Linked DNA regions of Sus scrofa. The main gene of each other region encodes a partner of the protein of the gene in region 2 in a complex. Links are inferred from orthologs where the notes say so. Each region holds a gene or a part of one and is shown on either strand. Other genes may lie near its edges. The genes, in order: CFP, CFB and CFD.

Region 1 (2,457 bases), on a different chromosome or scaffold from region 2:
CCTTTTCCACACACCAACCATTCCTCGGAGGCCTTTTCTCGGGGCCCTGTGTACCTGGATCCCTTGGGGGAATACACGGGATCTGGGTTCTGCTTCTCTGCAACTGTTGCCCAAAAGGCCTTAGAGTGCCTCGGGGCATGGGTGACTGAGAGAATGAGAAGGTGAATGGAGACATGAATGACTGAGGGACTGAAAGAGCAAATCCAAGCTTGAGTAACTGAGGTAGCAGAACAAATGGACACAGGAAGAATGGAGTGAATGGGAGAATGGCTGAGTGAATGAGTGAAGGGCCTGGAGCCTACTGATTCTCCCTTCAACCTCCACTTCCTCAGCTTTTTTAGTTTCTCCCCTCTTCCTGCAGCGAGGAGATGGCCCTTGGCGAGGCAGGCACCTTGCATCCAGTGGTGGAAGCCCTGGTTAGGGGTAGCTGACTCTCCAACCCTGAATGCTGACATATCCATATCATGACCCCCTCCGAGGCATGCAGCCCCCCTCACTCACGGGAAATTGGGGAGCTTGGGCTGGCAGAGGCGCTGGCGGGTGCGGACAGGGCTGGGGCCACAAGGAGGTATGCACAGCCCCCAGGTACTCCACTCGGACCAGGAGGCTTCCTCTGCAATGAGGGGAGGGGTTCCCGAGTCAGAATTGGAAGTCTCAGTGGGATGGTGACAGAGAGGCGGCAGGGATGCGCGGGGTCCGAGGCAGAGAATCAGAAAGCCTGTATCCCCGGCATGGGCTGCCCCACCCCCACAGCATAGTCTCTGGGGCCACTCACTGAGGGGGCAGCGCTGGATGCTGTAGCAGTGCCGGATGTCCTGTTGTTCCCCAAGACATCGCCGTCCGTCAAACTTGCGGCCTTTGCAGATCCTCGAGCGGGTCTGCTGGCCTGGGATCTCCTGGCAGCTGATGTGCTTTATGCCCCGGCGGACGCAGTTGCTCCACTCTCCCCAGAGCCCCCACTCTCCATCCACTGCAGAGATGAGGCAGCTGGGCTCATACCAAAGAAGGGAGCCAGCGAGAGGGCTTGGAGGAAGGAATGGGGGCTGGGGTGGGAGTGGGAATGACCAGACGTGGGAAAGGGGGATCAGAGATGGAACCAAGGCATTGGGGCCAGGAATGGAGAAATTAGACGCAGGAATGAGGTATTAATAGCAGGAACTGGGCAGCAGAGATGGGGGGCAGGGCTTAGGCATGGAAATGAGGCATCTTGGGGTGCTGACCAGGGCAGGGCACAGCCGTGTTGCAGATGTGGGTCCGAAAGGCTTCGCCGACACAGAAGGGGCCCCCGTGCTGGGGCACAGGGTGATCACACGACCGTTGTTCTCGGGTCTGGCCCAGGCCGCAGGTCACAGGGCAGGGACTCACAGCGCCCCATGGCCCCCAGCCCCCAGCCACTGTTGGTGGAGGATGGAAGTGAGGGGAAAGGCCACCTCCGTTGCCCCCCTCAGCCCCTAGACCCCTGAGGCAGATTTCCCCTAGACAAAGAGCTCCATGGTCACATGGTCACATGGTCTCAGATCTCTGTCCCCTGAAATGGTAGAGCATCTGTGCTTCAGTCAAGAGCAGAGGGTCAGAGGCCTCATCCCCAAGTACCTGGGCAGGGTGGCAAGCCGCTGCACATCCGCTGGTCATTGGCTGACCCTGAGCAGGGATTCCCGGGAGGCTTCGTGGAAGGCTCAGGTGCTGTGCACGTGCGTTTTCGTCTCTCCACAGGTTCGCTGGGTCCACCTTTGCAGGTGCTTTGGCAGGGGCCCCAGGGACCCCAAGCAGCCCAGGCCCCGTGTGCTGTGATGGGGTGGGGGATGGGGAGATGCCAAGTGTGGTCACGCATGCTGAAGTCCTCCCACCCTGGAAGTTCCCTGCTGTAACTCCTGGACCCACCCCGCATGCCCGAATCATTGCTCTGTGGTTGCCCTCACTCACTGGGGCAGACCTGTTGGGTGTCACAGTCCTCTGATTCCTGTGCCTCTCCTGGGCAGTGGCCCCCACACTTGGGGGTGGGGCGATCACATGCCCGACGACGAGTCCGGGTCCCTCTGGAGCAGGTGGCAGAGCAAGGTGCCCAGGGCCCCCAACTGGACCAGCCGCCCATCTCTGTGGGAGGGAAGAGGGCGACAAGATGGAGGTGGTGGTGCCATTCAAGGGTCCGGGCTTCCTCGTGTGTCCCATATCAGCTAACCCTGTCCCCACATCTTCTGCCACACGTGGCCCACCATCCATCATTGCTCATCTGGACGATTGCAGTAGCTTTCACACTGGTTCCCCGGCCTCACTCCTCAACACGTGCAGTCTGTCTTCCTAACAGCAAGAGGGGCCTGCCACAACCCAAGTCGGATCACATTTCTCTGCCATCACTACATCACTCCATCACTCAGAATAAAAGCCAAACATCCTGGAGTTCCCAGCGTGGCTCAGCGGTAATGAACCCAACTAGTATCTGTGAGGTAGCTTTGATCC
Region 2 (4,091 bases):
TGGGGTCATTGCGGAACAGGGGTTGGTGGGAACCTGTTGGAACTGAGAGGGTCACTGTTGTCAGAGGAAAGTCAACGGGGGTGACAGTTAACTCAGAAAGTTGCAAGATGTGGCCTATCAGCCGCTGAGAGGCCTCTGGGGTCAAGGATGGCTTGGACGATCAGTGACGTGATGATGTCTTCCCTTTCCACAGACCACAAGTTGAAGGCAGGGACTAACACCAAGAAGGCGCTCCTGGAAGTATACAACATGATGAGCTGGGGAGTGAACAACTTTCCTGATAACTGGAACCGCACCCGCCATGTCATTGTCCTCCTGACTGATGGTAGAGGGCCCCCTCTCCTGCCTGACACCCCAAGCTCTCAAACCACTGCGGGGCCCTGAAGGCCATGTGTAAAGCTGGACTCATGGTTGGGGCCCCAAGTGCTGCTCAGAGCCCCGACCTTGTCAACCTTTCCCGTGAAGCTTTACAAGGAGGGACACGTCTCCCCCCAGCCTGCTCACTCAGCCCCAAGTGTCACTCTGTCTAGCCATTTTGTCTTTCTTGAGCCTCATCCTTCCTCGTCTCCTTCCTTCATGGTCCCTGCCTCTCCTGCAGGCTTGCACAACATGGGCGGGGATCCGGTCACGGTCATTCATGATATTCGGGACCTGCTGAACATTGGTAGAAATCGCAAAAACCCAAGGGAGGATTATCTGGGTGAGTGTGACCGCCCAGGACCCAGAAGCCTGCCTCCTCAGTTCCGACTCCCCCACCCCCACCCCGAGGGCCTGGACCCTCACTCGCCCCTTTTCTCCCTCAGACATCTACGTGTTTGGGGTTGGGCCTCTGGTGAACCAAGAGAACATCAATGCTTTGGCTTCCAAGAAGGACAAGGAACAACACGTGTTCAAACTCAAGGACGTAGATAACCTGGAGGATGTTTTCTTCCAAATGCTTGGTAGGAAGCTATCAGGAGGATACAAGGAGACAGTTAGGAGCCTCAGCTCTCCCCAGGCCCCCCATACTCTCCCACTCCTCCCAAAGCTCTGGCCGTCCCGAAGGCCTCTCTCGACCTCAGTTATTATTCTTGCTTCCTGGCACTGTCCACACCCTGCCCTTAGAACCACAGAGCTCTGAAAGATGATGATCTTTTCTCAAGTCCCTCGTTGTACAGATGTGGAAACTGGGGCCAAGAGAGGTCAAGGAACGACAGATCAGCGAGAGCTAGGTCTGAAAACAGCCATGTCTCTAATCTCAGCCCCCAGGTCCTCTCATGCTACCCTAGAGGGTCCGTCCCTGCCCTCAGCGTAAGGAAACGAGTGCCCCCACCTTCCTTTTCCTCCTGTACGCCTGTTCTCTGTGGCCCTGTGGGTGTCCCTCCCCAAAAGGCTGCTGCCACCTGGAAACGAAGTGTCCCAGCTTTCAGCGCAGTCCTTTTTTTGCCAGATGAAAGCCGGAGTCTGGGTCTCTGTGGCATGGTTTGGGAGCACAAGGACGGTACTGACTACCACAAGCAGCCGTGGCATGCCAAGATCTCAATCACTGTAAGTGCAGTGTCCTGAGAGTGGGGACTTGTGGCTGGTGAGGTCAAGGTGAAAGGAAAGAGGAAGAGCAGACTGTTGATATTAGATTGTGGCGTTTGCGAAAGCCAAGCTTCCCCTCCTGCCGCTCTGTTCCCAGCGCCCTTCAAAGGGCCATGAGAGCTGTATGGGTGCCGTGGTGTCTGAGTACTTTGTGCTGACAGCTGCACACTGTTTCACTGTGGATGACGAGAAACACTCCATCAAGGTCAGCCTGGGTAAGGATGCAACCAACCAATCCTGAGCCTCAGCCACGTCCTCTGGGTGACACCTCCCACTTCCTCACGAGCCTACACTCCACCTGTCTGCTCCCTCGCGGGCTGGACCAGTGAGGGGTAGGGAGACTTGAGTGAGGGGTGACGTGGAGGCTGCCCACAGTGAAGCGCATGGTCTAGAGGTAACTGTTCTTGCTCTGGTACTTCAGGAGGGAAGAAGCAGGAGTGGGAGATAGACCAAGTCTTATTTCACCCAAACTATGACCTCAACGCAAAGACCGCAAAAGATATTCCTGAATTTTATGACTATGACGTGGCCCTGATCAGGCTCTCGAAAAAGCTGAAGTATGACCAGACCATCAGGTGAGCCATCTGGCTCCCCAGGGAGAAAAGCCTGCGAAAGGTGAGGCCGAAAGACTGGGGCAGGCCCGGAGGTCACCATCCCTGAATCCCCCCATCCCTCCTCACCAGGCCCATTTGTCTCCCCTGCACTGAGGGATCAAATCAAGCTCTGAGGCTTCCTCTGACAACCACGTGCCAGCAACAGAGTAAGATGCCTTCGGGGACAAGAGCATGAGGGTGAGATCCCAAGAGACAAGGGAGGCGGGAGAGGGAGCGGCAGGAAGAACAGATGACGCCCAGCCCTCTCCAGCTGCTGGGCCGGGGTTGAGGGACATCTGCTGAGTGATAAAGATAACGGACAGGTGCTGGGGGGAGGGAGCGTGATGAAACGACCCAGTCTGTCCACCTGTCCAGTGCAAGAGCTGCTGCCTGCAAAGGATGTCAAAGCCCTGTTTGTGTCAGAGCTGACCAAGGATCACAGGAAGATACTGACTCGGAAGGAGGTTTACATCAAGAATGGGGAAAGGGTGAGGAACGGGGGATCCAGAGGCTGTCCTTCAGGCTCCCGAGCTTCCTAAGCAAGCTTTGTTCATCACCCCTTTCTCCTCTGGGTGTCCCCCCCCTCACCTACAGAAAGCTGCCTGTGAGAGAGATGCTCTACAAGCCCAAGGCTATGAAAAGGTCAAAGTCGTCTCTGAGGTGGTCACCCCCAGGTTCCTTTGCACTGGCGGGGTGATTCCCTATGCTGACCCCAACACTTGCAAAGGTGAGAGAAGGCTCTCTGGTTGTGCTCTAAGTTCCCAAGGCCTGAGGGTCTTTTCCCTACAGCTTCTCCTCTCCTGCAGGTGACTCAGGGGGCCCCCTGATTATTCATAAGAAGAGCCGCTTTATTCAAGTGAGTCTCCCCTTTCCTCTCTGTGGGAGGGACCAAGCAGTCAGCCTAGGCTCCAAGGCGGGACCACTCACTGTGGCTGCAAAGGGGAGGGTGGAGCCTGCCTGACCTTCAGGCTCCTCTTGAACTGGCCAACTCAGGGCTGCATGTCTGGGCTGTGTGCCAGGGGACAGGACGGAGCTGGCTCCTACTCTAATCCTCTGGGGTCAGCTCGGATGCAAGGGGGAGGAGCTGTGCCTCCTGGGATTCAGAAGGAATTCTACCAAAGGATTCCCGGCACCCCCTCGCCCTCTCCAGGTTGGCGTGATCAGCTGGGGCGTCGTGGATATCTGCAAGCGGCAGCAGCAGGCACCCTCTTACGCCCGAGACTTTCACATCAACCTCTACAAAGTGCTGCCCTGGCTCAAGGAGAAACTCAAAGATGAGGATCTGGGTTTTCTCTAAGGGGTTTCCTGCTGGAAAGGGACATGAGATCAAATTAAAACAGCTGCGACAACACCTGTGTTCAAGATCCTTTTGGGGTAAAGGAACGGGGAGCGTGCACTGGCCATGTTGTTACAACTGAGATCAAATCTAACAGCCGTTTTTAAAGGCTCGACCCCAATCCCAAGGGCTGAAAAACCAGAGGCTGAGGGAGATGTGTGAGCTTCCACCTCAGTGTTTTACTGAGACCAGCGTTGGGGCAGGTGAGGCACACGGAATCCAGCTCCATTCCCTAGAAGCCGTCCACAAGGTTTTCCTTGTAGACGTCATCACTGTAGACAATCTGAGTCCTCTTGTCCCGGTGGCAACCCTTAGGGCTATTCTGGACAGCTAGGGAGGGAGGAAAGACGCATTAGGGTCTGAAGGAGGGCACTGAGGAGACCTGAGGCCCAGTGTTTGACCACCTCCACTCCTGGCCTCTGGCTCTTGGAAGCCCAGTTGCCATGCTGCCCTCTGGCGGCAGGACGGCCTTTCTACCATCAGCCTCCTTAGCCAGTGGCTCGGAACCATCGCCCCAGGGGAGGGTGTGCTCTTATCACAGCAGGCGCAAATACTGTAAGGAACTTTCCGTCTTGGAAAAGCCTCAAATGTTATTG
Region 3 (4,335 bases), on a different chromosome or scaffold from region 2:
TTTCTGGCTTCCCCTCCTATAAAATGTCATTAGACTCTTGTTGCAGGTGGCAAGAATGCAAAGCACTATAGCAGGTGTTCATTCTGAGTCACAAGGATCATTCTGAATCTTTGCAATCTTCACTCATCTGTTTCTGGCTCCAGCCCCTAAAGTAGTTCTTATATAAGTGCCTTGTTTTACAGGCGAGGAAGTAGAGATGCAAAGAACTGTAAAGTCATGCTCCAGGGCCTGGGTTCGAGTCCCAGCTCTGTGACTTTGGGCAAATTGCTCACTGTTTCTCTGATTCTCAGTTCCCCATGGGGAAGACTGAGGCACTGTCTGGGGAGGACCCAATCAGGGGTTGGGGTCCAGGCCAGTCTCGGCCTCACTGGGTACGGAAACAATCCTTCCTCCACTTCCCCAACCTTTTGCCTTGGGACACCTCAGGGTCTTAACTAGTGCTGTTCCCTCTGCCTTCCAGCTTCTCCCTAAGGTTGTCCTCAGAACACCTCTCCCCACAAGGGCCAGCTGCTCAGGCAGGTGACCCACTGCCCTACAACTGCTTTTTCCACTTAATACGATATCTTGGCGGTCTTTCCATGTCAACAAAGCATCCCAGGATCTGCAGGGTTATTTACTGAACCATTCTGTCTTTTTGGGTAATTTCCAAATTTTGCTGCAATTTCCAATCCTTTTACTTACATAATCTGCACTCCACATTCCAATGGGCTTTTGTTTTAGAGTTTCTGATTTGAGCAAGGAAACATTTTAGGGTCTAACAAATTGCATTTGTTATGCTGTTTTCTATTTTTCTCTGTATGTGTGAAATGGTCCACCATGAAGAAAAAAGAAGGAAAGGAGAAAATACCATGCACTGTTCCTCCTGGGGACGTTCACGGTCCTCCCCACCCTTGTGGTTACACACAGCATCTCCCCCGAAGAGGTTCATGAGATGTTGACCCACCATCCCCAGCTTACAGAGAACCATGTGACCCAGGTTCTGCTCATCAGAACCTGCCAACCCACAATGGCTGCTTTAGGGGCATGAGATCCAAACTCAACCAATCAGAGGCCGCCTTGAGATGCTGGCTAGAGTGATGGGGAATTGGCAGAGGGAATAACTGGGCCATTGGTCTGAGTCTAGGGCCCCTGAGGCCACAACAGGGGAGACTGCTGAGGAGACAACCCATCAAGGAGGAAAAAAAGAAACAAAACATTGTTCAGGTGCCTGGATTAAGCTACACCTGAAGGTAGACCCATAAACTTTCCATTTAAATTTTCTTGTTGAAGGTTCCAGCCCCTTACACTCCATTTTTTTGTCACTTGTATGCAACAGTCTTTCCAGCTGTCCCTACTCATCAACAATATTCTACTTAAAGGGTGTCAAGCCCCAGAGTCACAGCAATGTGGACAAGGGCGTTGGATGACCTTCCCCCCCACCCGACCTCAGCTCCAAGTTGCAGGAGGAAGGGAAAGAAGGGAGGGGCAGAAAATGAGGAAGTGGGTTGTTTACAAACTGGGCTTGCTCTCCAGCTGCTGTTGCGAAACTCTGGGGCTGGAAGGGCACTCTGGGAGACTGGGCTGGGGGTCAGGGTGGGTGGGTGGGTGGGTCCATCCCTCTGCTCTGCCCACCGCCCATCCTGAGGGGCTCTTCCCACAGAATGACAGAGGTGGCAGGCAGGTCCAGCAGCCCATCTACTCTTGGTACAAAGTCTAGGGGAAGATAATCACAGCACTGTGGCGGGGGAAGTGGGGGGAGAGAAGGGCGTGGACGGCTTCCCTTTGTTCAGCTGGGCCACTGCCCACTTGGCAGATAGGACCTGTGGGAGCTCCCCCCCCACCCCGTTCCACCCTCATAAAAGAACCCCAGAGCCCTGCCCTGGGCCATTGTTGAGGCCACAGCAGCATCATGGCAGACCGCTCCGGGCACCTGGCAGCCCTGATCCTCCTCGGAGCAGCTGTATGTGGTGAGTGGACCCGGGACTGGGGTGCCAGCTGGGGGCCCCTAGCCTGCAGCGCAGTCAGCCATGGACCCCTCCGCTCAAGAGGATGGCCCTCCAGCCCCACTAGGTGGGCAGAGAGGGGGCAGGGTCCACATGAACAGAAGGCTCTGAAAACCAAGCAATTCTCAAAACTTTGAATCTAGTGAGTTCAGAGAGCCTCTGGTTCTACAACAGAAAGCCCAGGCTGGGAGCAAACGGCTGGCAGGATGTTGGGTCTGATCAGCCCCACTTGTCTGTGTCTATATTGAAGTTCTAGGGCCCAGTGTGTAGGTACGCGGAGTCTGCCCCAGACTGTCACTCCCCACCGCCCGGTCTGTCTTCTTCAGCATCCCTCCCTGGGCCCCCAGAGTTTGCAACTCTTTGGGGAGGATCCCAAGGAAGGAATTTCAGTCTGAGGGTGCCAGAGCCGCTCTCTTAGAGGGAATCTGAGGTCTGGGCTGCAGTCACCCTCACTCGGACCTGCATCCTCCAGTGGCACAGCCCCGTGGCCGGATCCTGGGTGGCCAGGAGGCCAAGTCCCACGAGAGACCCTACATGGCATCGGTGCAGGTGAACGGCAAGCACGTGTGCGGAGGCTTCCTGGTGTCTGAGCAGTGGGTGCTGAGTGCAGCACACTGCCTGGAGGACGTGTGAGTGGCCCAGGACCAAGAGCGGAATGGGGGAATTGGGTGTCGGGTGGGGACATGGCTCTGATGTGAGCCCACTCCACTTCCAGGGCCGAGGGGAAGCTGCAGGTTCTCCTGGGTGCGCACTCCCTGTCACAGCCCGAGCCCTCGAAGCGCCTGTACGACGTGCTCCGCGCCGTGCCCCACCCAGACAGCCAGCCTGACACCATCGACCATGATCTCCTCCTGCTGAAGGTCTGCTAAGTCTAGCCGCAGTCCCTCCAGCTGCACTGGGGGCTGCGCTGCCCCTAACGCTCGCTTCCGCCCCCACCCTCAGCTCTCCGAGAAGGCCGAGCTGGGCCCTGCCGTGCAGCCCCTTGCCTGGCAACGAGAGGACCACGAGGTTCCGGCAGGCACGCTCTGCGACGTGGCCGGCTGGGGAGTGGTCAGTCACACTGGCCGCCGGCCCGACCGTCTGCAGCACCTGCTCCTACCGGTGCTGGACCGCACCACCTGCAACCTGCGCACATACCACGATGGCACCATCACCGAGCGCATGATGTGCGCGGAGAGCAACCGTCGGGACAGCTGCAAGGTGCGAGGGCGGGAGGGCTGAGAGGGGGCGGGCATGTGGGGAGCTTAGAGAGTGGCCAGGCTCTACAGCGTGAGCGTGGCCTGAGAAGTGAGGGCTGGGTGGGCGTGGCAGAGTTGAGAGGGGAGGTGGGATCTGGGAGAGGGTGCAGATAAAGACAAAGCCAGGGCGGGCATGGAGAGGGCTAGGAATGGGGCAGGGTCGGAGGCGGGGGCTGCTGAACTCAGACAAAGGGCGGAGTAAAGCTTGAGGGGCAGAGCTGAAAGTTGGGAGGCGGCGCCTTGATGGGCTGGGCCTGGGAAGATTGCTGAGCGAGAGAGCCTGTTGGGGCTGTAGGGATGAGCGGAATTGCAGCAGGTTCAGGTTGAGCCTGGCCTGGACCCAGCTCTCAAGCCCCCGCCCCACGCAGGGCGACTCCGGAGGCCCGCTGGTGTGCGGGGGTGTGGCCGAGGGAGTGGTTACCTCAGGCTCCCGAGTCTGCGGCAACCGCAAGAAACCCGGCATCTACACGCGCTTGGCGAGCTACGTGGCCTGGATCGACGGAGTGATGGCTGACAGCGCAGCCGCCTAAGGAGGACCTAAGGGACAGGGCGGTGGTCACCAGGCTTAGCAATAAAGTCATCCATTCCTGCATCTGAACCTTTTATTATTATTTTTTTTAATGGCCACACCAGTGGCATATGGAAGTTCCCTAGCCAGGGACTAAATCCAAGCTGCAGCTGGCAACAACCCACTGAGCCAGGTATAGAACCTGCACCTCAGCAGTGACCCGAGTGGCTACAGTCAGATTCTTAACCCACTGCACCACAGCGGGAACTCCCCGACCACCTTCACTACTTTCACATTGCCTGTGGGAGCACACGAAGTGGACAGTCCAAAAGGACTGCGGAAAATAGCAAGTGAAACCTTTTTTTTTTTCCCCCAACCTTTTAGAGCCACACCTGTGGCATATGGAGGTTCCCAGGCTAGGGGTCGAATCAAAGCTACAGCTGCCAGACTACACCACAGCCACAGCAACGCAGGACCCAAGCCACATCTGCAACCTACACCTCAGCTCACAGCAATGCCTGGATCTGTAACCCACTGAGCAAAGCCAGGGAAAGAATCCGTAACCTCATGGTTCCTAGTCGGATTCATTACCACTGTGCCAGAACGG

The links.
Region 1: the proteins of CFB (region 2) and CFP are in contact, whole or in part, in a crystal structure (PDB 7NOZ), measured with the Homo sapiens proteins. The link is inferred for Sus scrofa from reciprocal best matches to the Homo sapiens genes CFB and CFP. Residues at the interface, in NP_001701.2 of Homo sapiens: Glu54, Gln56, Ser78, Thr316, Tyr317, Leu349, Ser351, Met394; in NP_001138724.1 of Homo sapiens: Arg329, Arg330, Asn331, Lys333, Pro341, Met420, Val421.
Region 3: the proteins of CFB (region 2) and CFD are in contact, whole or in part, in a crystal structure (PDB 2XWB), measured with the Homo sapiens proteins. The link is inferred for Sus scrofa from reciprocal best matches to the Homo sapiens genes CFB and CFD. Residues at the interface, in NP_001701.2 of Homo sapiens: Glu298, Ala301, Ser302, Ala332, Asp333, Ile469, Asp470, Glu471, Ser472, Glu518, Tyr519, Lys585, Asp758, Glu759, Asp760; in NP_001919.2 of Homo sapiens: Asn157, His158, Ala159, Gly160, Arg161, Arg162, Arg182, Thr183, Asp186, Arg200, Val228, Cys229, Gly230, Asn231, Arg232, Lys233.

Annotation. Positions count from the first base shown.
Region 1 is NC_010461.5:42,147,529-42,149,985, forward strand, and holds part of CFP (properdin), read right to left. Parts: intron 2,095-2,457; coding exon 1,924-2,094; intron 1,786-1,923; coding exon 1,594-1,785; intron 1,395-1,593; coding exon 1,221-1,394; intron 971-1,220; coding exon 776-970; intron 614-775; coding exon 502-613; intron 1-501. UniProt on the Homo sapiens protein: A positive regulator of the alternate pathway (AP) of complement. It binds to and stabilizes the C3- and C5-convertase enzyme complexes. Inhibits CFI-CFH mediated degradation of Complement C3 beta chain (C3b).
Region 2 is NC_010449.5:24,037,014-24,041,104, forward strand, and holds the end of CFB (complement factor B), read left to right. Parts: intron 1-193; coding exon 194-325; intron 326-598; coding exon 599-700; intron 701-803; coding exon 804-941; intron 942-1,429; coding exon 1,430-1,527; intron 1,528-1,663; coding exon 1,664-1,781; intron 1,782-1,987; coding exon 1,988-2,141; intron 2,142-2,249; coding exon 2,250-2,326; intron 2,327-2,534; coding exon 2,535-2,647; intron 2,648-2,753; coding exon 2,754-2,886; intron 2,887-2,965; coding exon 2,966-3,015; intron 3,016-3,309; coding exon 3,310-3,456; 3' UTR 3,457-3,510; downstream 3,511-4,091. Other genes in the region: NELFE (negative elongation factor E), read right to left, coding at 3,667-3,825.
Region 3 is NC_010444.4:77,509,275-77,513,609, reverse strand, and holds CFD (complement factor D), read left to right. Parts: upstream 1-1,621; 5' UTR 1,622-1,888; coding exon 1,889-1,946; intron 1,947-2,454; coding exon 2,455-2,611; intron 2,612-2,697; coding exon 2,698-2,842; intron 2,843-2,924; coding exon 2,925-3,182; intron 3,183-3,588; coding exon 3,589-3,750; 3' UTR 3,751-3,818; downstream 3,819-4,335.